3 linked regions of the Canis lupus familiaris genome follow. The protein of the gene in region 3 interacts with the protein of the main gene of each other region in a pairwise test. Links are inferred from orthologs where the notes say so. Each region holds a gene or a part of one and is shown on either strand. Other genes may lie near its edges.

What was found. The genes of interacting proteins can lie anywhere in the genome.
Region 1: the proteins of RNF5 (region 3) and YIPF2 interact in binary tests that used the Homo sapiens proteins (3 or more experiments, as listed by UniProt). The two-hybrid records come from large-scale screens. The link is inferred for Canis lupus familiaris from reciprocal best matches to the Homo sapiens genes RNF5 and YIPF2.
Region 2: the proteins of RNF5 (region 3) and UBE2K interact in binary tests that used the Homo sapiens proteins (3 or more experiments, as listed by UniProt). The link is inferred for Canis lupus familiaris from reciprocal best matches to the Homo sapiens genes RNF5 and UBE2K.

Annotation. Positions count from the first base shown.
Region 1 is NC_049241.1:50,724,474-50,731,698, reverse strand, and holds the start of YIPF2 (protein YIPF2), read right to left. Parts: upstream 4,944-7,225; 5' UTR 4,801-4,943; intron 4,645-4,800; 5' UTR 4,615-4,644; coding exon 4,584-4,614; intron 4,249-4,583; coding exon 4,094-4,248; intron 4,000-4,093; coding exon 3,919-3,999; intron 3,019-3,918; coding exon 2,931-3,018; intron 2,923-2,930; exon of another isoform or gene 2,896-2,922; coding exon of another isoform or gene 2,807-2,895; intron 1,689-2,806; coding exon 1,572-1,688; intron 1,481-1,571; coding exon 1,314-1,480; intron 1,237-1,313; coding exon 1,054-1,236; intron 992-1,053; coding exon 850-991; intron 775-849; coding exon 764-774; 3' UTR 1-763. Other genes in the region: TIMM29 (mitochondrial import inner membrane translocase subunit Tim29), read left to right, coding at 5,036-5,129, 5,206-5,894.
Region 2 is NC_049224.1:73,347,710-73,354,792, forward strand, and holds the start of UBE2K (ubiquitin-conjugating enzyme E2 K), read right to left. Parts: upstream 4,944-7,083; 5' UTR 4,711-4,943; coding exon 4,648-4,710; intron 1-4,647. UniProt on the Homo sapiens protein: Accepts ubiquitin from the E1 complex and catalyzes its covalent attachment to other proteins. In vitro, in the presence or in the absence of BRCA1-BARD1 E3 ubiquitin-protein ligase complex, catalyzes the synthesis of 'Lys-48'-linked polyubiquitin chains.
Region 3 is NC_049233.1:1,700,062-1,707,459, reverse strand, and holds RNF5 (E3 ubiquitin-protein ligase RNF5), read right to left. Parts: upstream 3,006-7,398; 5' UTR 2,841-3,005; coding exon 2,701-2,840; intron 1,820-2,700; coding exon 1,801-1,819; intron 1,706-1,800; coding exon 1,593-1,705; intron 1,477-1,592; coding exon 1,422-1,476; intron 1,345-1,421; coding exon 1,227-1,344; intron 1,118-1,226; coding exon 1,020-1,117; 3' UTR 551-1,019; downstream 1-550. UniProt on the Homo sapiens protein: Membrane-bound E3 ubiquitin-protein ligase that mediates ubiquitination of target proteins. May function together with E2 ubiquitin-conjugating enzymes UBE2D1/UBCH5A and UBE2D2/UBC4.

The DNA.
Region 1 (7,225 bases), on a different chromosome or scaffold from region 3:
CCGGCTGTCGGGAAGGCCCTCCGTCCTCGGCCCCTGCCTCTTGCTGCTGTCCTGTCCCTGAGCCCCTGCAGGTCCCCTCCCCCACCCCTGCCAAGAGTTCGAACAGGTGGCCCCGTGGGCCCCGGGCCTGGAGGGAAGGGTCACTGTCAGCCGCTCGGGGCAGACACGAGAAACCTCAAGGATCGATCGTGGAAGGCGTCCTTTTTCCTTGTAGCTCACATTAGGCCTGTGTGTTTCCCTCAATATTTGTAGACGCTCCAGTCCCTAATACTATGATGGCATTTCGGTCCCTCCCCAGCCTGGGAAGGGGCCTTGCAGGGACCTCCGCCCCCTCCCCCCCAAAACAAAACAAATAAACAAGGAAATGTATGTTTCAGCACAGGCAATTTTCTTCTACTTCTGCTCCCCCCGTTTCTAACACCTTCAAACTCGGATGCGGTGGAGCTCAGGCTAGGCCCTGGGACCAGCTCACCAGGCACCCAGGAAGGGCAGGCACAGTTGAGGCCGGGGTGGCCCCCCTCTGCTCTCCCAACTGTCCCATTGGGGAAAGCAGAAGGTTGGGCAGGGAGCCCGAGGGCGATGCCACACCAGGAGCTTCCTGCTGCCCCTTTCCCGCCTTTATATAAATTCTCGGAATCACCTTTGCATAGAAAATAAAAGTGTTTGCTTTGTAAGAAAAGTCTGGAAAGTAGCAGAGTGATCTTGAGGTGTCAGGGGAGCCTTCAGCCATCGTCTGAGGAGCAGGGCAGGCATAGGTGTCCCCTCATGTTGGGCCTGAAAGAGAGAGACTCCTGGGAGCAGCCCTGGGACTCCTCGAGACGGGGAGGAAAGGCAGGAGCAGCCCCTTACCCATAGGCTCGGCCGCCCTAAGTGGCCTTAGGCCTCGACGTGGGTGGCAGCAAGAGGTTCGCAGGCAGAGACGTGGCCTGGGCCGGCGGTGCCAGGTGCTCCAGAGGCAGGGGCTGGAAGAAATAAAACTGGACCGAGGCCCCTGGAGTCAGTGTTGGTGGGGGGTCAGCACCCGTCCCCCGCCCCGGTCGTGACCGTCTGTACCTTACAGCCCACGGCCAGGAGGGCATGGAGCAGCACGACAGTCGAGAGCAGCACCGCAGCCACCAATCTGGTGTCCTCTCGGACAACAGGCCAGAGGGTAAACACCAGGCTGGCGGCTGACAGCACCAGGGCCATGACCCCAAAGAGCCACTGCAGCCAGGGGACCGGAATGAGCCACAGGACCTGGGGGCGACATGGGCAGCTGCCTACCAGGCCTTCCCCATGATGCCTGGTGCCCTCCACCCCTGGGCCGCACTTACCACGGTGGGGATGAAGACAAAGAGGGAGTAGCCGTAGATGCACACGGTCTCCAGGAAGGTGTAAGGCCCCATGCGCTCCCGGACACCCTTCCGCCACCGCAGGAAGCCCCACAGCGCCAACGGCACCAGCCAAACATAGCAGTAGATGGTGACGCCAGCCACAGTCACTGTGGAGCGCGGGGCAAGGCAGGCAGTCACCCTTGGGGCTCTGTGCACTCCCAGCCCCGGCAGGTGCCAGGCCTAGCCCACTTCACTCACCCTTGTGGAACTGGGGGCTGTAGTGGATCGAGGGGTCCCTCCTCTGGGCCAGCACCAGCGTCAGATTGCCAGTGATGGCCAAGACGAAAGCCAGCGTGGCACAGATCCAGAAGGGGCCTGTGGGCAGGGCAGGGTGTGGGAAGGGGCCCAGGGTTCCCCGAACAGGAGACTTGTCCCATCTCAACTGTGCTGGGACCCCAGCTGCTTTCTAGGCTCGGGGCTACCTGCACACCACCCCCCGTCACTGATGACCTGGGCTGGCTGATCCCAGAGCTGGCCCTCAGTCCCTCAGCTTTCCTGACTTTTCTATCGCCTTTGCTGTAGCTGATCGCTTCCTTCTTCTGGAACCACTCCCCATGTGCTTTTAGGACTTCATGCTCCTGCTTCTGGCATGTCACATTCCTGGCTATTCCCCAACCTTTGGGACTCCCTAACCCCTTCAATAACGGGGACCCAGCCAGGGCCGGTCTTCAGCCATCCTCTCTGTGTTCACCCCTTGCACCATCTTGTCCCGCCTCAGGGGTTTAGGTCACCTCCAGGCTGATGACTCCCAAATGTCTCAAATTTGGTCTGTGCCATGAACCACTGGCTTTATAGTCAGCATTTCCACGTCACGTCTAGGTCTCTCCAACTCCAGCCTGCCCAGCCTTTCCAGTTGGTAAATGACAGTCCCATCCTTCTAGCAGTCCCGATGGAAATCCAGGAGCCACCCTTGCCTCTCTCCTCCCGCCCGACCTCAGGCGTGTCAGGGTGTCAGGAAGTCCCGTCGGCTCTGCCATGAGATCTCTTTCACAGTCCAACCACTGCTCTCCACCTGGGGCTGGGCCCATCACCCCACACCTGTACCATGGTGGCGGGCACTGCCTCTCTGGTCTCCTGGCATCTGCCCCTGCCCCCCCCCGCCCCCCATGGCCAGAGGAAGCCTCAGAGTCCTTAACTAAGACCCCTTCTCACTGAGACGGACAAAATCTGCACAGTCTCTCCTGTCACCTCTACGACCTCATGCAGCTCACTGCTCCAGTGACAATACTGCTCCACCACTGGACCTGTGCCCCCTTCTGGAATGTTCTTCCCCTATGTCTCCTCACCTTCATCCCTAACAAGGCCCATTCTTGCATCCTCCTCAGAGATGTCCTGTCTCAACCATGCAAAATGGCAACTCCCATCCTCTAAACTGTTTGCTTTTTTTCTGAGCCCCATTGCCCTCAGCAGCCTCTATATATCTGTCTCCCCAGATGGAATGCGTGCTTCCTGCCCTCTGGGAGTGCCCCTACTTTCTTCTCAGCTGGAATCCATGGGCTGGCACTCGGTCCACATGTGCTGAATGAATTATCGAGCTGAACGTACACCACCACTCACCATACAGGTCTGGCCGATTCCGCAGATGGTGCCGTACAAAGTTGTGGCCAGGCCGGGGCAGCAGTGAGCCTCTGATTCGGTCCAGGACCTGGGGACAAGGTGGGGCCCAGAATGGGAGCCTGCACAGGGCCAACACACACATCCCTCCACCAAAGAAAGAGGAAAGGGCTAAGCTCCTGCCCTTAGGGGCTCCTTCCCTGCTGAGCTCCCATCTCCTTGCCTGAAAAAGCTTGGATGTTCCCTGAGTTTTTGATGCCCCTTTCCCTGGCCAGCCCCAATACCCTAGCGCGCTACTGCTCTCAAGGACTCTTCCGGGTTGGTCATCTTTCTCCTTGCTTCTCCCTTCTCTTAGCTTGGCTGCCCTGAACAGCCTGTTATGTTGTGACATGCCTGGACCGTGAGGTGGGGAACAGTCAAATCCTGGGCATCCTCCTGCCTACCTCTCTTTCCACTATATTCCTTGTTCTGCACCCCAGGTTTAAGGCCTGGGGTCTCTGAGCCACCTTCCTAATTCAATTCATTCCTCTCCCGCTCTAAGCCCTTCTGTGGCTCCCCAGCACCCTCACGATGAAACTCAAACTAGCACAGCGTACGAGGCCTTTGTGGTCTGGGTTCTGCCTGCCTGTCCCCCACCTCAATCTCCAACCAGATCAAGTGACAGGTAGCTCGTGACACCTTCTCTCACCTTTGGCCCTCTGCATCTGCTGTTCCCTGCACCTGCCATACGTGCTTCCCTTCACGTCTCTGCACATTCCTCACCTCCTCCAGGAGGCCCTTCTCTAACCTGCGTGACTATATGCAACTGTGTTCCCACGAGCCCATCACACCATAATCCTGACAGCGCACCACAGTCCACCAGCCCGTGTAGGGGCCCGTGTCCTACCGCCTGGGCATCACCAGCATTCTGGTGTCTAGGAAGGGCTCAGTGAACAGTGGCTGGACCCCCGTGTGACCGCAGGCCCCATCCCACCAGCTTCCCGGGCCTGACCTGGGATGTGTCCACGTCAAAGAAGCTCTGATAGTAGCTAAAGGTCCAGAATCCGGGCTGCTGCTTCTCCTCCTGCAGGAGCTGCAGGGATGGCATGGGCTTTCAGCGGCTGCCCTTCCCGCCTGGGCGGAGCGCGGGGGCAGGGCTGGGTGCAGGCAGGGCCTGAGGCTCTCACCGCAGTCTTGTCACTCTCCTCAGCCTCCTCAGATCCGTAGATACCACCCGAGTCCACCTCCACCGCCACGTGCCCCTGTGGGGCCAGCTGACCGCGGCCACTCGTGGTGGCCGCATCTGGGGTCTCCGCCAGCAGACTAGAAGCTTCCTCGAACTCTATGGAGAAGGAATACGGGACAAAGGCATGTTTTGGGAGTCAAGACAATTTGGTTTGGCCCACTGCTCGGCTGGGGGACAACACTCCACCTGGGGCTACCTAAGGGCCCAGCTTCCTAAGTTTTGGGGAGTTGTAAGGTGTGTCCCCCCGCCCCACAAGGGCCCACCACTTAAGGCTGGTTCCGGGATGGGGTCAGGTCTGGGACCGAGGCTCAGGCTGGGAGCGGGGTTCGGGTCAGGGTCGGGGCTTCAGGCCGGCTGTCGGCGGGCACCCGGGTGGGAGGGTCCGGGCGGCGGAGGGAGTAGGAGCTCGGGCCAGGTCGCCGCCCACTCACCGTGGAAGGCCAGCTCGTCGGCCGCTGCCATGGTCGCTCAGGGGCGTCACCGCATCCCGCTCTGAGGACAGAGGCCAATGACGCCCGCCCCCAACCACACTCGGTGCCCCTCCCCCCAGGTCCATCCCTCAGCCCGGAGCCCAGCCAGGCCGCTAGGGCACCGAGCGGGGGGTGACCTCGCCGCCCCCGCCCCACAGGTGCACCCCGCCCCCCTCACCTGAGGCTCCCTCAGCCGGCGTGGCCCAGGCTCTCTGCGCCTGCGCGGCCCGCCTCCCGGCCTCCGCCGGCCGCGCTCCGACCCGACAGCAACATCCGGCAGCGGTCCGAGTTCCGTCTTGTTCCGATGGGAAGCCACTTCCGGCACCGTCGACGCTGGCGCAGGAGGCCCCCGGGCCTTTTACTTCGCACACGAGGCGTTTCGCTTCGGAAAACGGACTCTGAGCCGGAAGAGAATGGCGACGGCCGCTCTGAAGAGATTGTGGTCCCGAAACCGTGAAGGATCTGGTGGCCCGGCGGCCGCGAAGCCGGGCGTGTGGGCGCGGCTGGGTGAGTAGCGGCGGGCGGCGGCGGGAGGGTGGCCACGGCGGCCTGCTCTCACCTGTGTGTTCCGCTTCTCCCTCAGGCGCCTGGGCCCGCGTGCTGCTCCGAGACTACGCCGAGGCTTGCGGGGACGCGGCGGCGGCGGCGCGGGCCCGGCCCTGGCGGGCGGCCGTGTACGCGGGGCTGCTGGGGGGCGCGGCGGCCTGCTGCGCGCTGGCGCCCAGCGAGGCGGCCTTCGAGGAGGCGCTGCTCGACGCGTCGGGCATCCTCCTGCTGCTGGCCCCCGCCACGCGCAACCGCGCCTCCGAGGACTGTGTGCAGCGGCTGCTCTGGCTGCGGGGGCGCGGCCGCCTCCGCCACGTGAACCTGGGCCTCTGCGCGCTCGTGTACGAGGCGCCCGTCGACGCCCAGGCCAGCCTCTACCAGGCTCGCTGCCGCTACCTGCAGCCCCGTTGGGCCGACTTCCCGGACCGGATCCTGGACGTGGGCTTCGTGGGCCGCTGGTGGGTGCTGGCCGCCCGGATGCGCGACTGCGACATCAACGACGAGGAGTTCCAGCACCTGCCGGCCCATCTGCGCGTCGTCGGACCCCATCAGCTGCATTCTGAGACGAACGAGCGCCTCTTCGACGAGAAGTACAAGCCCGTCGTGCTCACAGACGATCAGGTTGACCAGGCGCTGTGGGAAGAGCAGGTGTTGCAGAAGGAGAAGAAGGACAAACTCGCCCTGAGCCAGGCCGACTCCCTGGTGCGGTCGGAGGTCCCCAGATGAAACCCAGGCCTGGATCCGGAAGGGCGCGGAGCGCTGGCTGACCGTCCACCCGGGATGGCATCCGCTGTGTTTTAGCCTCAGATCCAGAGTGACTTAAATAAATTATGTGCACAGTGTTCTTTCCCTGGGTTTTCACAACCTTTCCGGCCTCTCTCCCGCTCATCTGGTTCCTTGTTAGTTGAAGCTGATTCAGAGTTAGCTTGGTCTAGGCCTAACCTTGGGTCAAGGAGTTGGGGGAGAGCAAAGCGACAAGACCAGGTAATGTTTATCACTGCCAGAGTTAATAATGAGCCTTATACATATATATATAAGCCTTTTTTACTGAGCTTCCCAGTCCCTCCACCGAGGTACCACATTTGTCAGGTGACTCCAAAGCTCTCCTAATACCATTCAGATTTTCACTTTATTTTTATTTTTTTAAAAAAAGAGTTTATTTTATGAGAGAGAGAGGCAGAGGCTCCCTGTGGTGAACCGGATGCAGGATTCGATCACAGAACCCCAAGATCACCACCTGAGCCAAAGGCAGACACTCAACCACTGAGCCATCCAGGTGCCCCCAGATTTTCACTTTAAATTTGGAATTGCAATGTTTATCTTCTTTCATTTTCATGAGTAGCATTTTTAATTATTTCAAAATAAAGTTAAAAAGCAGTTTCAGAAGAAAGTGGAAAAATAACCCAAAGACATTCTGTGTATCCTTCACCCAGTTTACCCCAAATGGTAATGTTTTACAATAAACTACAGCAAACTAGGAGATTGCCAGTGGTATGACTATAGATTTTACAGGGAATCTTTCTGCAAAAACCTTCCCCCCCCACATATGACAGTGATATCAAACTGATTTGGAAGGATAAAGCATTTTTTTAAAAAATCTGGAATTAACTATGGAATCACAGATTATTATTTCAGTCACCCTGGAAACCCAGAATACTATTGAATGGAATAGGTTAGTCTACAGAGCTGGTATTTAGGTTGTGATAACCCTACTTTAAAAATGGATAGAGGAATGAGATTACCTCCGTGAACCTAGGTGACCCATGGCTGGCTCAGTGGGAAGAGCAAGACTGACTCTTGATCTTGGGGTCATGAGTTCAAGTTCCATATTGGGTATAGAGATTACTAAAAAGAAAAGTAAAAAAACCCCCATGAGATGAAGCAACCATCTTTGCTGTGACGTTTGAGTTCATGTATTTTGTCATTCAGTTTTGGTACTCAGACTTTCCATTGTGGGTATGCTGGACACATGGTGATTTTTATATCCTTATTTTTGGGACAGGGGAGCATCTTGTAAATCAACATCTTCATTACAATGGAAAAAGTGATGTTCAAAA
Region 2 (7,083 bases), on a different chromosome or scaffold from region 3:
CACAGATAACTGTTTGAGATGTTCTTCTAAAGAGTTCTGTCTACAGCAGTGGTTCTCAACATTAGGCAAAGTCTGGAGACATTTTTAGTTGATACAACTGGCAGGGAAAGAGGGCAAAGAGGTAGGGAAGAGCATTGGCGGTGCTACTGGCAACTAGTGATAGAAGCTAGAGATACTACTAAACATCCTACAAGGCAAGGGAGAGCCACTCACAGCAAAGAATTCATTATCTGCCTAAAATGTCAATAGAGCTAAGGACAGAAACTATGGTCGACAAAATCAACAGACTTACTTCTAAAGACTCGCCAATTAGTTTTTTGGATCAAATTAGATGAAATATATTAAATTTAAAATGACACTAAAAGGGACATCTAGGTGGCTCAGTGGTTGAGCATCTGCCTTTGGCTCAGGTTGTGATCTCGGAGTCCTGCATCAGGTACCGCAGGGAGCCTGCTTCTCCCCCTGCCTATGTCTCTGCCCCTGTGTCTCTCATGAATAAATAAAATCTTAAAAAAATAAAAAAATTAAATATAATAATGACACTAAATACAAAATCCACTGAAACAGAAAAAAACTTCACAATAGCAGTTTTCATGAAATCAACTTGTAATGCCATAAATTACATATGGGAATTTCACGAATCAACTTGTAATTGCCATATCCCCTATTATTTTTAAAATATTTTATTTATTTATTCATGAGAGACACAGAGAGAGAGAGGCAGAGACACAGGCAGAGGGAGAAGTGGGCTCCATGCAGGGAGCCTGACGTGGGACTTGATCCTGGGTCTCCAGGATCAGGCCCTGGGCTGAAGGCGGTGCTAAACCACCAGGGCTGAGCCACCTGGGCTGCCTAAATATACTCTATTAGAATCATAGCAAATGTTAGCAAAGTACAGCTACAATATGAAAAAACTACAGATAACACATAACAACAACAACAAAAACCCCAAGAGTCTGAGCATTGACTTGGGACATATTATTTTATTGAGTTTCAAATTTAAAAGTATTTTGCAGGGGTGTCTAGGTGGCTTAGTCGGTTAAGCATCTGATTCTTGATTTTGGCTCAGATCATGACCTCGAGGTCATCAGGGCTCTGAGGTCCAGGGGAGTATGCTTAAGATTCTCTCTCTCTCTCCTTCTGCCCCATACCCCCCCACCCCGCCCCCTGCCCCTGCTGGCTTGTAAGCATGCGTGCTCTCTTTCTCTCTGAAGTAAACAACAACAAAAAATATGTTTTAAAGTACTTTGCATACTGACATGCAAATAAATATTTAAGTTACTTAACAGGTAATACTTCTTTTAATGTTTAAACTATTAAATTAGGTTGTGTTTATATCCTTTAATCAGTAATACAAACCAGTCTCAGTTATTTTTAAATAATTAAAGCATGCCTATCCTTGGAAAGTAATGACACTGTGTACAATATAAACACAAGCACACCTAGATCTAAGTCCCAAAGCTACATGCTTGCAGACAAATAATTTAACTTCTTTGAATCTCAATTTCCTCATCGAAGAAACAGGAAATCTAATTCAAAGAACTGTTCCTGAAAATTAGCAAGAATGCATAAACAAATGTTATTAAGAGTCAATCTACAAATGGTGCTTAGTTGTTAACAACAATAATACAACCCGAATATAAATTATGGTTTTATTATATCCTCACAATCAACATTTCACTTAGTAATTCGACTCATAAAATAACTATAAAATGTAGTTTAAAAAAAATGTAGTTTAATCAATTTTCCATTCCTGGCAATTTGAAATATTAAAATTCACACAGATTTAAAATTAGTATCTGAAACATAGAGGATGGATTTCCAAACAGTCTCAAGGAAAAAAGACCTAGATGCCTTTATTATTTTATTTAAGTAAATAATATATATGCATGACTCCAAACTCAAAAGGGATCCTTTAATGCCCATTACCCCAGACCACCCAATTCCCTCATACAGAAGTAATCAATTTTCCAATTTCTCACGGAGAAAAATACACATATTTCCCCCCTTATTCCAATACAAATGGTAGCCTCCTCCACACTATTCTGCACCTAGCTTTTCACATTTGATTTATCTTCAAGCCTAGATTTTAATTAACACACTCCAAGAGTGACTACTTATAACCTCTTATGGTTAGAACTCAGCAAACATCAGCTATCTTTAGAAAACAAAAGACAAAAAAAAAAAAAAATTCCTTAAACCAATCAGTATTCTTAGTAAACAAGACCATATGAAACAAACTTTGGGAAACCTAGAGATTTATGTAGATGATATGATGAAATACTTAATTACTTGACCAGACACTCAAAATACTACATTTCCACACTTAAAAAGGAAAACACGTGGACTCTACTACAAGTCATTCAATGAGCTGAAAATAATCAACACAATCCACTTATAAAACTGGACCTACTAAAATATCGATGAAAATAAAGCTATTTATTGGTTATAATCCAAGATTAAATTATCTGACCCTTTCCTAAATGTACTCTGCAATTTATTTTCTAGAAGAAATTTCCTTCCAGGTTTATAAAGGTACTCTTCTTAAAACAATTTATTAGCATTTCCTATTCTCTTTCTCTGAAATACCATAATGCTTACTTGAAGCAAGACTTCAACATCCCTTACAGAGCAGTATTGTTTTAACAATATGCATACTAGAGTTGATACAAGATTTCTTTTAAGCTTTAATTGAAGTACTAAAAATATAGTGAAAGTCACCTCATACGAAGCAAAGAGACCATATGAATTGAGAGCAGTAACTTACCATTTTTAATAGAAAATAAAGCACTAGAAAGAAGTCATATTAAGTCTCAGGCTTGTACAACTTTATTAACAGAAGAAATGTTTTAGGCTGTTGGCAACAGTATTAGCTGAATATTTCATAGGATTATATATATGTCGACTATCCTGGAACATATTTTCTTGCGAATAAAAAGTTAGAATCATTGTTTCACTGTATATCAGTACAGACATTTATGATCCTATTTCTGCATTGTACCACAAAAATACAAAGTCATCCTTCCATTCAGAGTTTTGGCTCTTGAACAAATACAGAGGTCAGAGTTCATACACATGCTCTGTAAAACAGATCATTTCTTATAGACTACTACATTAGTAAATCGCTAGTATTTGTTATTTTAAGTTAATCTTAAAGAATTATATTCTCCATGTCTAATTGGAGAAATGATTACTGTAGAATCAGTGACATAAATAAAGCTCAAGTATTGCCACTTATGTCAATTACTCATTAGAATGCTGAATTTCACAAATCATTGAGATTATCAACGCTCCAACATAAAAGAAAAATACAAATAGTAATGATACATCCAATAATGGTATGTGACATCTTGAAAATAATAACTATTTCAGTATTACTTTTTCATCTCTCTCTTTGTTAAATCCAAGGAGGAAAAACTTGGCATTCTTGTTGTTGTGGGTATAAAAAATTGTACTGATCCTTGTACAGTTTTGAGTCAAATCACTAGAATATTCTGAATATACTATATAAGTAAATATGGCAAACAGCAGAGTATTTAAATTCTGCAGGACTCAAGAGCAGCTTGAGACAAAAAAAAAGTGTTTCCAATAATTTCAATTATGATACAAACCTACTCAATAAGGAGGTATAATAATATATTAATCCGGGGGAAATCCCATGTTTTTAATAGGGCTGGTTTTTCAAAAGTAAGAATCAAGTTAACTATGAGAGACATCATAATGAAGTTTCATGGCATAACACAACAGTCACAGAGGCATTGTCTTAGGAGAGACTCTGACCTGTAACTTGTAAACAATATTTTGAAATAAGCTACTCTTTACCCTCCATTATTTTTTCCTATCGAAAAATATCTAAATGCCTTTAATACACCAAACAACATGCCTTCGACCCAATCAAAAAGCTTTAGATGTCAACAGAAAAGAGGCCTAGGAATTGGGGGTGGGGTGAAGGAAGGGTTGTGGGGGGGGGGGAAGTCGGGAAAAATGAGATAATGATCTATTTTGGAATTAATTCCCTACCTCAGGTGAAAATTCCCTCATTCCCCACTCCAATAGAATAGTATCCCATTACGTCTCCTCTTCTCTCCCAACACCGAACTAAGGAGGGAGTAACTCTGAAACGTCCTTCTTTCATCAGTACCTAAGGTCTTTTTACCGCTCCTTCCCAAAAGAAAAGGACAGTGGAGGCCAAAGAGGCTGTAACGTAGAAAACCCTCAAAAGTGCGGGCCTCGGAGCGGCGCGGCTCTCGGGATCCAGTTACCACCTTTCCCCTTCCCCCAACCCACTTCCCGGGTTTTCTCAGGCCCGGCCTGCTCCCTCCCCACCCTACATCCACACTTCCAGCTGTTGCCACGGCCTCGGGCTCTCTCTAGAGCTCACACCCCTCCAGGAGGCGCCCCCTTCTCCATCTGCCCCCCAAACCGTGCTCCTCTCCAGACCGCCCGCCCGCGAGACTGTCCATCCCAGGGCCCGGGGAGGGGAGGGGAGGGCGACGGAAGCAGGGGGGAGACTGCTGCTTCCCCACAGGCAGAAAGGGCGGCCGCCAAGAGGGCCACCCAGGGGTTACCGGGGGGCCGGGGTCGCCGCTGGGAGCACCCTCCCGCCCAGGGCTGGGGTGGGGGCATGTCTGGGAGTTCATTTCTGACCTCCTCGCTCTTCAGCACCTCCTTGAACTCCCGCTTGATTCGCTGCACCGCGATGTTGGCCATGTCTCCGCCCGCAGCTGATTCGTACCCGCCTCCTCCGCCACCGCTACGACCACCGCCACCGCCGCCACCTCTTCCACCAGCGCCTCCTCCCTCGGCGACTCACACCCGAGCACACGAACGCTGCCACTGCCACCCGGCCGCCGCGCTCTCCTCAGTGTGGAATCACCTCCGCGCCCGGCCACCAAAATGGCGCCGGGTCCGCGCATGCGCAAGACGCTGACCCGGCCGGGCGGCGCAGCCGCTCCCGTTGTAGCCCCATACGCCTCAAACGCGAGCCCGCGCCGCGCTGCGCCGCGCGTCTCTGCCGGAGCTGCGGCCGCGTGGCTCCGCCCTGCCGGCGTCTGAGGCCAGGAGGGTGCGGCTTCCGCGCTGGCCGGCCCTGCGCGGGCCTCCCGGGTCCTCTCGGGTGCCTCCGCCCCTCTCCAAATCGCTGTGGTGCGGCCGAGGCTTCCCACCCGCGGCCTCTGACGGAGGGCTGGGCGCGAGCTAGCGGGTTCTCGCGGCCCCGGTCGGCTGCGAGCGCCGTCCTGACCCAGCCAGACCCAGGACCCCCGGGCTTGCTGCGCCTGACTGGGTCGAGGGCACGAAAACACCATTCCAGAACTCATCCGGCCCATTTTCTGTCGGTGTAGGCCCAGAAAAATCCCACGGCGGTCCGTTTTTGTTCTGAAGCCATTAAAGTGCCACTACTAACGCGATTGTTCCAGATACTCCACGTCGCTGAATTCAAAGTGGTCATTGTTGGGTCGCATCAGGTGTATTTGAAACAGGTAACTCCATGTAGATGCCTGAGGTAGATTTCGAAGTCAGATGTTGATCTTTGAGCTACTTAGATCATCAGTACCGAGGTGTAAGAGTTTTTAACCTTGGGGGCACCCTGGGTGGCTCAGCAGTTGAGCGGCTGCCTTGGGTTCGGGTCATGATCCCGGGGTCCTGGGATCGAGTCCCACATCGGGCTCCCTGCATGGAGCCTGCTTCTCCCTCTGCCTGTGTCTCTGCCTCTCTCTCTCTCTCTCTGTGACTATCATAAATAAATAAAATTTTTTTAAAAATTAAAAAAAAGAGAACAGGGTTTCTTAACCTTGACACTAGTGACATTTTTTTTTTAAGTTTTTAACATTGAATCTACATCAGAATCCCTCAAGAGTTTGTTTAAAAAAACGAAACAAAACAAAAACAGGTTGCTAGACCCCATCCCTAGAGTGTGGGGTGGACCTAATAATTTGCTTCTCTAACAAGTTCTCAAATGCTGCTGCTCTTGCTGCTGGTTCAGGGACCACACTACCAGCACCACTAAACTAAAACATGTGAAAATAGTTTGTATGTTAAAGTGGAAAATGGAGAAATAAAATAAATAAATACATATTTTTTTAAATGGAGAAATAGATGCTTCTTGTGGAGGAATGGTAGCTTTACTTCTGTAAACCTAAGGGCCTATGACTGTCTCGCACTAGTAGGCACTCAATAAATATTGAGTGAACAAATGAAGATAAGAGAAAAATGTTTTAAGTATATAGTAAGTTTGAAAGGCAAATTGAAAATGGTTGCTAGGGTTTCAGGAAGTGATATGGTTTTGGTGCTGAGCGGTACTTTACATAGAACATTCTGGAATAAAGTAATAAAGTTTATTTAGAAGTTTTTATTTCATGAGCTGCTTTCTCCTCATCAGTTAGTAAAGTATCCTCCGAGAAAAATATCACAAATACACGGTCTTAGCAAGAATTACTAAAATTGTGGCACCAAAGTGATTCACAGGCAGTGAATCATTCAAGTGGAGGCACATGGAAAAAAAGTTCTTGAACTTCTGCCATCGGAACCAAGAGGAAATTTTTGATTCCAGCTCTACTCCATGCTAGCTATCTTGGCCAACCTTGGTTTCCTCATCTGTAATATAAGGAAGCTGGACTAGATGTTCTCTTTCAGGTTTTAAGAGGTCAGAATTCTAAAGCATCATTTGGAAATACCTCCCTAGTGGACTAATATAAATTATAAAAAACCCTTCCAGCAGAGCCCCCTAGTGGTCCGCAGAGGTTATACATGTGGGTCACGGTACAATGAATTATTGGTGTAATGTAAATCATTGCAATGCTATGTGTATTTGTGTCAATATATTAAAAATAATTATTTGGGGGGCACCTGGGTGGCTCAGCGGTTGAGCATCTGCCTTTGGGTCAGGTTGTAATCTCAGGGTCCTGGGATAGAGTACTGCATCAGTGCTCCCGGCAGGGAGCCTGCTTCTCCCTCTGCCTATGTCTCTGCCTCTCTGTGTCTCTCATGATAAATAAATAAAACCTTGAAAAAATAAACAAATAAATAAAAATAATTATTTTGAAGTGTTTTGAGTACTTTACATTTATCAACTTCATTCAGTCC
Region 3 (7,398 bases):
CAGTGATAAGTAAACACCTCACCCATTTGTTCTCGTGCACACATATGGATGTGTGTGTGTGTGTGTGTGTGTGTGACAGAGACACCTGTGTGTGTGTGAGACACCTGCATGTGTGAGATGCCTGTGTGTGTGAGACTGTGTGAGACGCCTGTGTGACACACCTGTGAGAGATGACTGTGAGAGACACCTGTGTGTAAGAGATGACTGTGTGTGAGACCTGTGTGTGAGAGACACCTGTGTTTGAGAAAGAGATGCCTGTGTGTGACACCTGTGTGAGACACGTGTATGAGATGACTGTGTGTGAGACACGTGTGTGTGTGAGAGACGCCTGTGTGTGTGTGTGTGAGAAAGATGCCTCTGTGTGTGTTTGTGTGTGTGTGTTTGTGAGAGAGAGAGAGAGAGAGAGACGCCCTCACCCTCTGAATCCCTCAGAGCCTTGAAGAAAGCCTTCACACTTCCCCACACCGTGCAAATATTTACTCAAGTTGGGGAGATGCTCCTGTCCTGGAAGGAAGGGGGTAAGGACAAAGGTGGGCAGAGCTCCCATCAGTACATCTCACCTTGTTTATTGAATTTATAATAAAGGAGGTAGTGAAGGGAAGGAAGGACTTAAGAATCAGAACCCATATTAGACACTGGGGAGAGAAAAATTAAGTCAACAGGGGTAAAGTAGGGGAGAGTCAGTGGGAGCCTTGCCCATCTTTCAACATCAAATCAACAAATGTGGGGGAAAGCAAAAGATCAGGAGAGGGAAGAAACAGACATCCTCTTCCGTCTGTCCTCCTGTCCCAGAGCTGGGAGTTAGGATGCTACGCAGCGAGTTCAGGGCAGAAGTTTCTCCCATCCTCTGCACAGATGTCACACCTCCTCCCCACACCCTCCTACAAAGTGGCCAGGGTTGGCCTTAGCCAGTAGAAACGGAGGGGTTGGGAGGGAGGGGCCAGGAGTAAGGAAGGGTCAGCAAGGACCCCCAATACTGATTCTCCTCTGGCTGGAGGTGGGCAGGAAGGAGACAAAGCTCAAATACTGAGCAGCCAGAAAAAGAAGAAGATGGCGAGAAACAGGAAGAGGGAGTCCTGCCAGCTGGAGGCCGGGTGACCCTGTCCCAGATCCACACCTGTAGGAGAAAGGAAAGCTGTGGGAGAAGCATCCACTCCTAGGTTGGGAAAAGGCCTGAGGGGACTCAGAGGGCTCCCTGCTTGGAGCTGAGGGAAGGCTCTTCTTACCTGTACCCCGACGGAATGGCTCATGGGTGTTGAAGACGGTGGTGAAAAAGCCAAAGGGAAAAGCACCAACACCAAATGAGAAGTGAAAGCCCCCGGTATCACCAAATGACTGGAATCCCTAGGGAGGTGGAGAAAGTCAGAGGAGAACTGGGCAGGTCTTTGGCAAGGAAGGAACACAAATCAGACAAGACTCACCCCTCTGCTCTCTGAAGCTGGTCGCTGGCCCTGGGGGCGGGGTGGAGTTTTCAATCTGAGGAATGAGAGACTGGCTAGGGCTAGCAGCAAGGAATGTCCTCTCCCCCTCCACGCCCCACTCCCAGGCCAGAAGCAGTCCATCTTCCCTCAGCACCACCCCCTCTCTCTCACCTGGGATCCTGGGGCTTCTGGCTCCCTCGCCCATAAAGAGGGACAACCTTTTCTCTGCTGATCCCAGCTTTACACACTGGGCACTCTTGCCGCTCTGGCCGGGTCTCCAACCACTGAGGGAGAAAATGAAGTGGTTTCCAGTTCACAGTAGGGTTTTTCAACTCCTCAGACCTCCCCATTTCCCTCTTCATCTCCTCTGAGTACGCACCTGATGAAGACAGGGCCAACTAGATGGGGGGAAAAAAAGAAGGTCAAACTAGCTACAGTAAAGACAGACACGAACCTGACCTCAGAGTCCGATCGCACCCCTCTTCCCAGGTATTACCTGCTGTTTCTTTTCATGTTTTTGACAACCTATTCCATGCCAGCCAATTTGGCCTTCCCACCTCTCTGATCTTACAACGTCTAAAGTAATATTCATCCTCCGAGGTTCAACGCTCTTCTCTCCTTGAACACACATGTCCCCTCCCTTTTCTGCCTCTGAACTTAGTGTCCAGGTCTCTTCAACCAGAGCTTTCTAGATCTCCTGTTTCAGCCCCAACCCCAGCCCTGCCCGCATCACTCCTCAACCAAACCCCCTTTACTAGCACCTGCCCCCACTACTCCTTTTCCTCTCTTCTAGGCTCCATCAAGTCCCTATTTCCACCATCCTTTCATTTCTCAGTGCCCTGGTCCTCAGGTCTGTCATACCACTCCCTACCAAGATCTCATCTGCATGCGATCCTACATTCCCTCGGTCTCCCGTACCCGACTAAGGCGTGCCTCCTCTAACCTTGGAGTCTAATCTATCTCCACCTGTACAACTAAGACCGTCACTTTCCGGGGTAAGGCGGCTGGGGTCTCACCTGGACAGATGTAGTTCCCCCACCACCACCCCGCCCTGCTGCCTCTTAACCACAGCACACCCCTCAGCGCCCAGTTCCTAGGGCTCTCCGCCACACGGCTCTCCTCCGTGGAGATGTGACCCTCTCACCCACACATTCCCAGAGACCTCGGGCCTCGCCCACGGGGATGTGCCCGCCGACTATCCGTATGCGTGCCATCCCGCCCCCAGCCTCCCCAGTAAGGGGCGAGCCCCATTTCTCTTCAGCCCCGGCCGGACCCTCACCAGTACAGGTGGCCACACACGCTGACCACAGCCTCCCGAGCAGTCTCCAAGCATATATTACATTCGAAGGTCGCGCCCGCCCCGCCCCGCTCGCGGTTTGGCCCTTCGGGGCCCCCGTCCTCCTCCTCCGCGGCTGCCATGGCCGGTGTTTCGCCTTCACGTACCCCTCGGTCTCCCCAAACACACACACAGACACACACACGCCCCAACAGCGAGAAACCGCCTCCAGCCCACGACCGTTGGGCGGGCTTCGAGGTTGTCTAAACACTACTGGTCTGGGTGGCTGACAATCACACAGTTTAAAAGCCAGGATTGGCCCAAAGGGTAGGGAGAGGTCTGCGCAGGCCTGCCCTTGCCAGCGACGATTGGCGGGCGCGTCTCCGTCAGGACGCCATGCGACAGAATTGGTGTCCGTTGGACCTGGTCGGGGAGCTTGATTCGTCTGAGTAGCTGCCAGTCAGGGCCAAGGGCCAGAAGCAATTGGTCCGGGACCACACAGGCCCCGCCTCCTCCGAGCCCTTTCTTTGCTTCACTTCCCCTTTCCGAGAACGTCCGGATTCCTATTGGACTTTGGAGCGTAGAGCTCCGAAGCTCTGGATTGGCTGGAACTCGACGGAAGATGGTGGTTCGGCAAAGTGCGCGCGCGCAGCAGGCGGCGGGAAGGGGCGGGCCAGGCCGAGAGTGCTCGGCTTTCTCTGGCCCCACCCCCTCGCCGCGCTCTTGTCGCCGTGGTGACTGCTCTACGATTGGCGGGCTTTGGGGTTCAAAGGCATCAGCGCCGCCTCATCCGGGCCCTCCGACTGCGGTCTCTCCGGGCTGATTGGCTAGTTTCTTGCAGCCCTGATTGGCCGAGATCGGAAAAGACGGCCGAGAGCTCGGCGAGGTAGCAAATGCTATGGTCGCAGGGCTCAAAATGGCTCCGGCCTCCTTCGGTGACGTAGAGGGCAGAACTGGGGCTCGCCCCTCCCTTTCAGTGAAGAAGGGAGCAGAACTGGCATCAGCTCGACGTGTGGGTGGTGCGAGCATCGACCTGCGGCGCTGGTGTTAACCCATCTCCCTCGGCTGCGGGACGCAGCCCGCTCCTCCTTAGGTGACTTGCAGAACAGATCTCAAGGCCCACACCTTTCTAACGTTGACACAGGATGACAGAGTTGACCCCGGCCCCGTTTTAAACCTGAAAAGCGAACTAGCTCCACCCCTTCGTGAGTAGGTGCCGAGGGGGCAAGGCCCGCCCTCCTGAGCGACCCGCGGCGGAATGGGGTTAGGCCCGCCCCTTCCGTCCTGTAGTGTGTCCCGCAGAAGTGGGGTCTTCCTCCTGGGTAGGACCCCCGGGACTTGGGCAGGCCCGAGCTTGGGCCTTCTCTACAGTCAGTGACCTCACTGTGGCCCAAGGAGCAGAACTAGGTAACAGTCCTCCCATACCAGTGTTCCTTACATCCTCGACCTCAGGGCGTGTAAATTCTAGCAGGGCGAATGTGTGTCTGGCAGCGGGGACAGACTCGGGCCGAGGGCAGGTCAGCACCCAGATAAAGGTCTCACGTGACCAGGGAGGCCAGGTGAGAGGAGGGCGGGGGAAGTGAAGGTACAGGATGCCGGGAAAGGCTTAGGAGAAAAGTTCTAGGGGAAGGGGTGTAGACCAAGGAGAGGAGCAACGCAATGGTCCTGGTTTAAGGGACAGTGGAAAGACGAGCGAGAGGAGGTCAGAGGCTGGACAGGGAACAGATACATGCCTACAAAATTCAGGAGGCATGCTCGTCCCAGAGTAATCTAGCGTTCTTTCTCTCTCTCTCTCTCTCTCTCTCTCTTTTTTTTTTTTTTTTTTTGTTTCTTTCTCATTTTTTTTTAAAGCAACCCTAATACCCAGTTTCTACTGGAAAAGATGCGCCCGCCCAGATTCTATGTTGGGGAGAGGCACTGTCTCAGCTTCAGTGATTGAGACTGACAGGAAGGAAATTGAAAAGCGAAAGTACTGAAGTTAAATAAAGACCGTGGAAGGACAGGGGCAGGGACAGGGCCCGAGAGTACCTCTTCTCTTTAAAGACCAGAGAGAGGGTTGAAGCAGGGAGCCGGACTGCGTGCGGGGAGGGCAAAAGTCAGAGAGCCAGCGAGAGCTGGAGGGGCCAGGGAGGTGGAGCCACGGGGAGGAGACGAGTACTTGGCATATAGTAGACACCTGCAGATATCCGGAGTTGGGAACAGGAAAGAGGTTTTTGGAGGAGTCGGGAGTTGGAGGGAATATACAGCAGATAAGGGAGTTAAGGAGAAAGGAAGAAACCGAGTGAAATTCCCAGGAAGAGGAGAGCTGATGAAGAAGGAATGGGCCAAGGAAGGAATACAGCACCAAGGGACACACGAGCCATGTGTGCTGAAAGGGAGTTGGAGGAAAAAAAGATGCAGCTGGAGCCTGAGAAGGCCGGAGACCGGCAAAGCCCAGCCGAGCTCTCGCGGGGCGGAGCCACCGAGGAAACTGGTCGATTCGGGGAGGCGATTGGCAAGACGGGCCGCCCATCACCGCCCCCTACTTCCTGGCCAGCCCCGGAAGCCCGCAGGCGTTGGGGAGGGGTAGGGGGATAGCGGCAGCAGCAGCCCCAGCCTCAGAGAGACAGCAGGGAGGGAGGGAGGGAGCTAGGGGGATAACCCCCCACCGTTCCTCCCGCAATGGGCCCAGCCTCCCACTCTCACCTCCCCTCCATCGGCCGGGGCTAGGACACCCCCAAATCCTGTCGCCCCCTTGGCACCGACACCCCGACCGAGGCAGAGACACAGCCACCCGCCACCACCGCTGCCGCAGCCTGGCTGGGGAGGGGGCCAGCTCCCCGGGCCCCCCACCCCACTGAGGTGGGGGCGGGAAAGGGATGGGAGGAGGCGGGAGGAGGGTGCCGAGAGGGGATGGGGGAGAGATTGGGTCTGGGAGGCGGACTGGGGAGAGGTTTGCTGGGGAAAGGAGAGGGGCCCTGAGGGAGGAAGGATGGAAGAGAGACGGAGGAGATCCGAAAACCCTGTGCATTTGGGATGGGGGTGTGGACAGAGTCCTGAAGAGGGAATTCCTGACACCTTCCCCAGTTCCTTTTCCTGCCCTTTGGCCCCACATGACTCTTGAGGGGTTGTAGCCGGGAGAAGGTGGTTTATTGCCCTCCTTCCCCTAGCAGAATTCGCTTCCTAGAAATGCCCTCAGACACCTCTGTTTCATCTGGGCACAGGACCTTCTTCAGTGGCCATCCACACTGGACTAGATCCTTACTGACACAGATGCTTTGTGGGGGGCCATGTTTTCTACATTGAGTCCGTGTGCCTTTGACATGTTTAGTGGCTTATGTGCGGCTAGCCTCTCCCTGTGCTCTCCGTGGACTGTGGACAAACGATGTTATTGTCCATCAGAATTGCCCATTCTCCTATCTTTATGTCCATGTCTCTTGTCCAGTCTTGACATTGTTCAAATGTGAGTTTTTATATATTGCATCCATTGTGTGGTTTTGTGTTTTTTGCACATTTTATGCTTTTGCATGTTTACTTTTGCATGTAAAGGTTATCCCTTATTTGTTTTGTTTCATGTATCATATATTATTATGTCCATGATCCTGTCATGTGTGGTAGTCTTCGTGTGGGGGATCCTGTGGTTTAGTGGACTAGTGCACACTTCTGTTGTGATTGGGTTGGCCTGTTGGCTGCATGTGTTTTCCCAGTCAGGATTCACACCATACCTATGCATGCTCCTTTACATATTTATCATGTTTACACTGATGTGGCCCTTCCACAGCATCTGTGCTTCTGGGTACACATACTATTTATTTCATAATTTTATTGGCAGTGTATTTTGTGAGTCATCTGCACATTAACCCATTTGGCACTCCATGCGCTTATAAGTCCTTGGACATTTCTGCTCCAGAGGAGGTCACTTAATGTTATACATTAGAGAAAAAGGTGACGGGGCCTCTGTTTCCCCAGAGAACCATCCCCATGTGCCTTACCTTGCTGACCTTCCTGGCCTGATCTCTCCAGTGGCTGTGGACAGCCTGTGTTCATGGAGGTCAGTGCATGCCACAGGGTCAGCTCTGCTGTGCACTTCCTCTGTTCCCCCACTCTTTTGCTGTGTTGGCATTTATTGATGACAGTAGCATCTCTCCCCTGTGGCATGTTAATCCCCATTCCGTATGTTTCTCTTTTGTGTGAGATGGGATGCGCCATCTTGATTGTTGGTGCTTCCCCTTCAACGTGACTGCGTATTGTATGTGTATATTCAGAGAAGGTTACTGTTAGGCTTGTTATGTTCATTGCTTTCTCAGTGACTTATCTTTTCACAGAGTGTAGCTATCGGATTCCTGATCATTTCTGTCATTAATTATGGCTGTGTGGGTGTGTATCCAGCCTTATAATCTGTTCAGCAAATGTTTATTGAGCACCCTCTCTGCCTCCTTCTGTCCCAGGTATTGGGCGTTACTACCCTCAAGCTGCTTACAGACTAGGGAAGGAAACAAAAGTGCCAGTGAGCAGTTATGTACGCTGTGGTGTCAAGATTAGTGGTTCTCAAACTTGTGTGCACACCAGACTCACTTGGAGGGCTTGTTAAAATACAGATTGTTGGGCCCAAGGCCCAGAATTTCTGATTCAAGAGATCGGGGGCGAGGTCCAAGAATACGCATCTCTACACTTTGAGAACCAGTGATCAAGATAAAAGTGTAATGAAAACTCAGGCCAGGA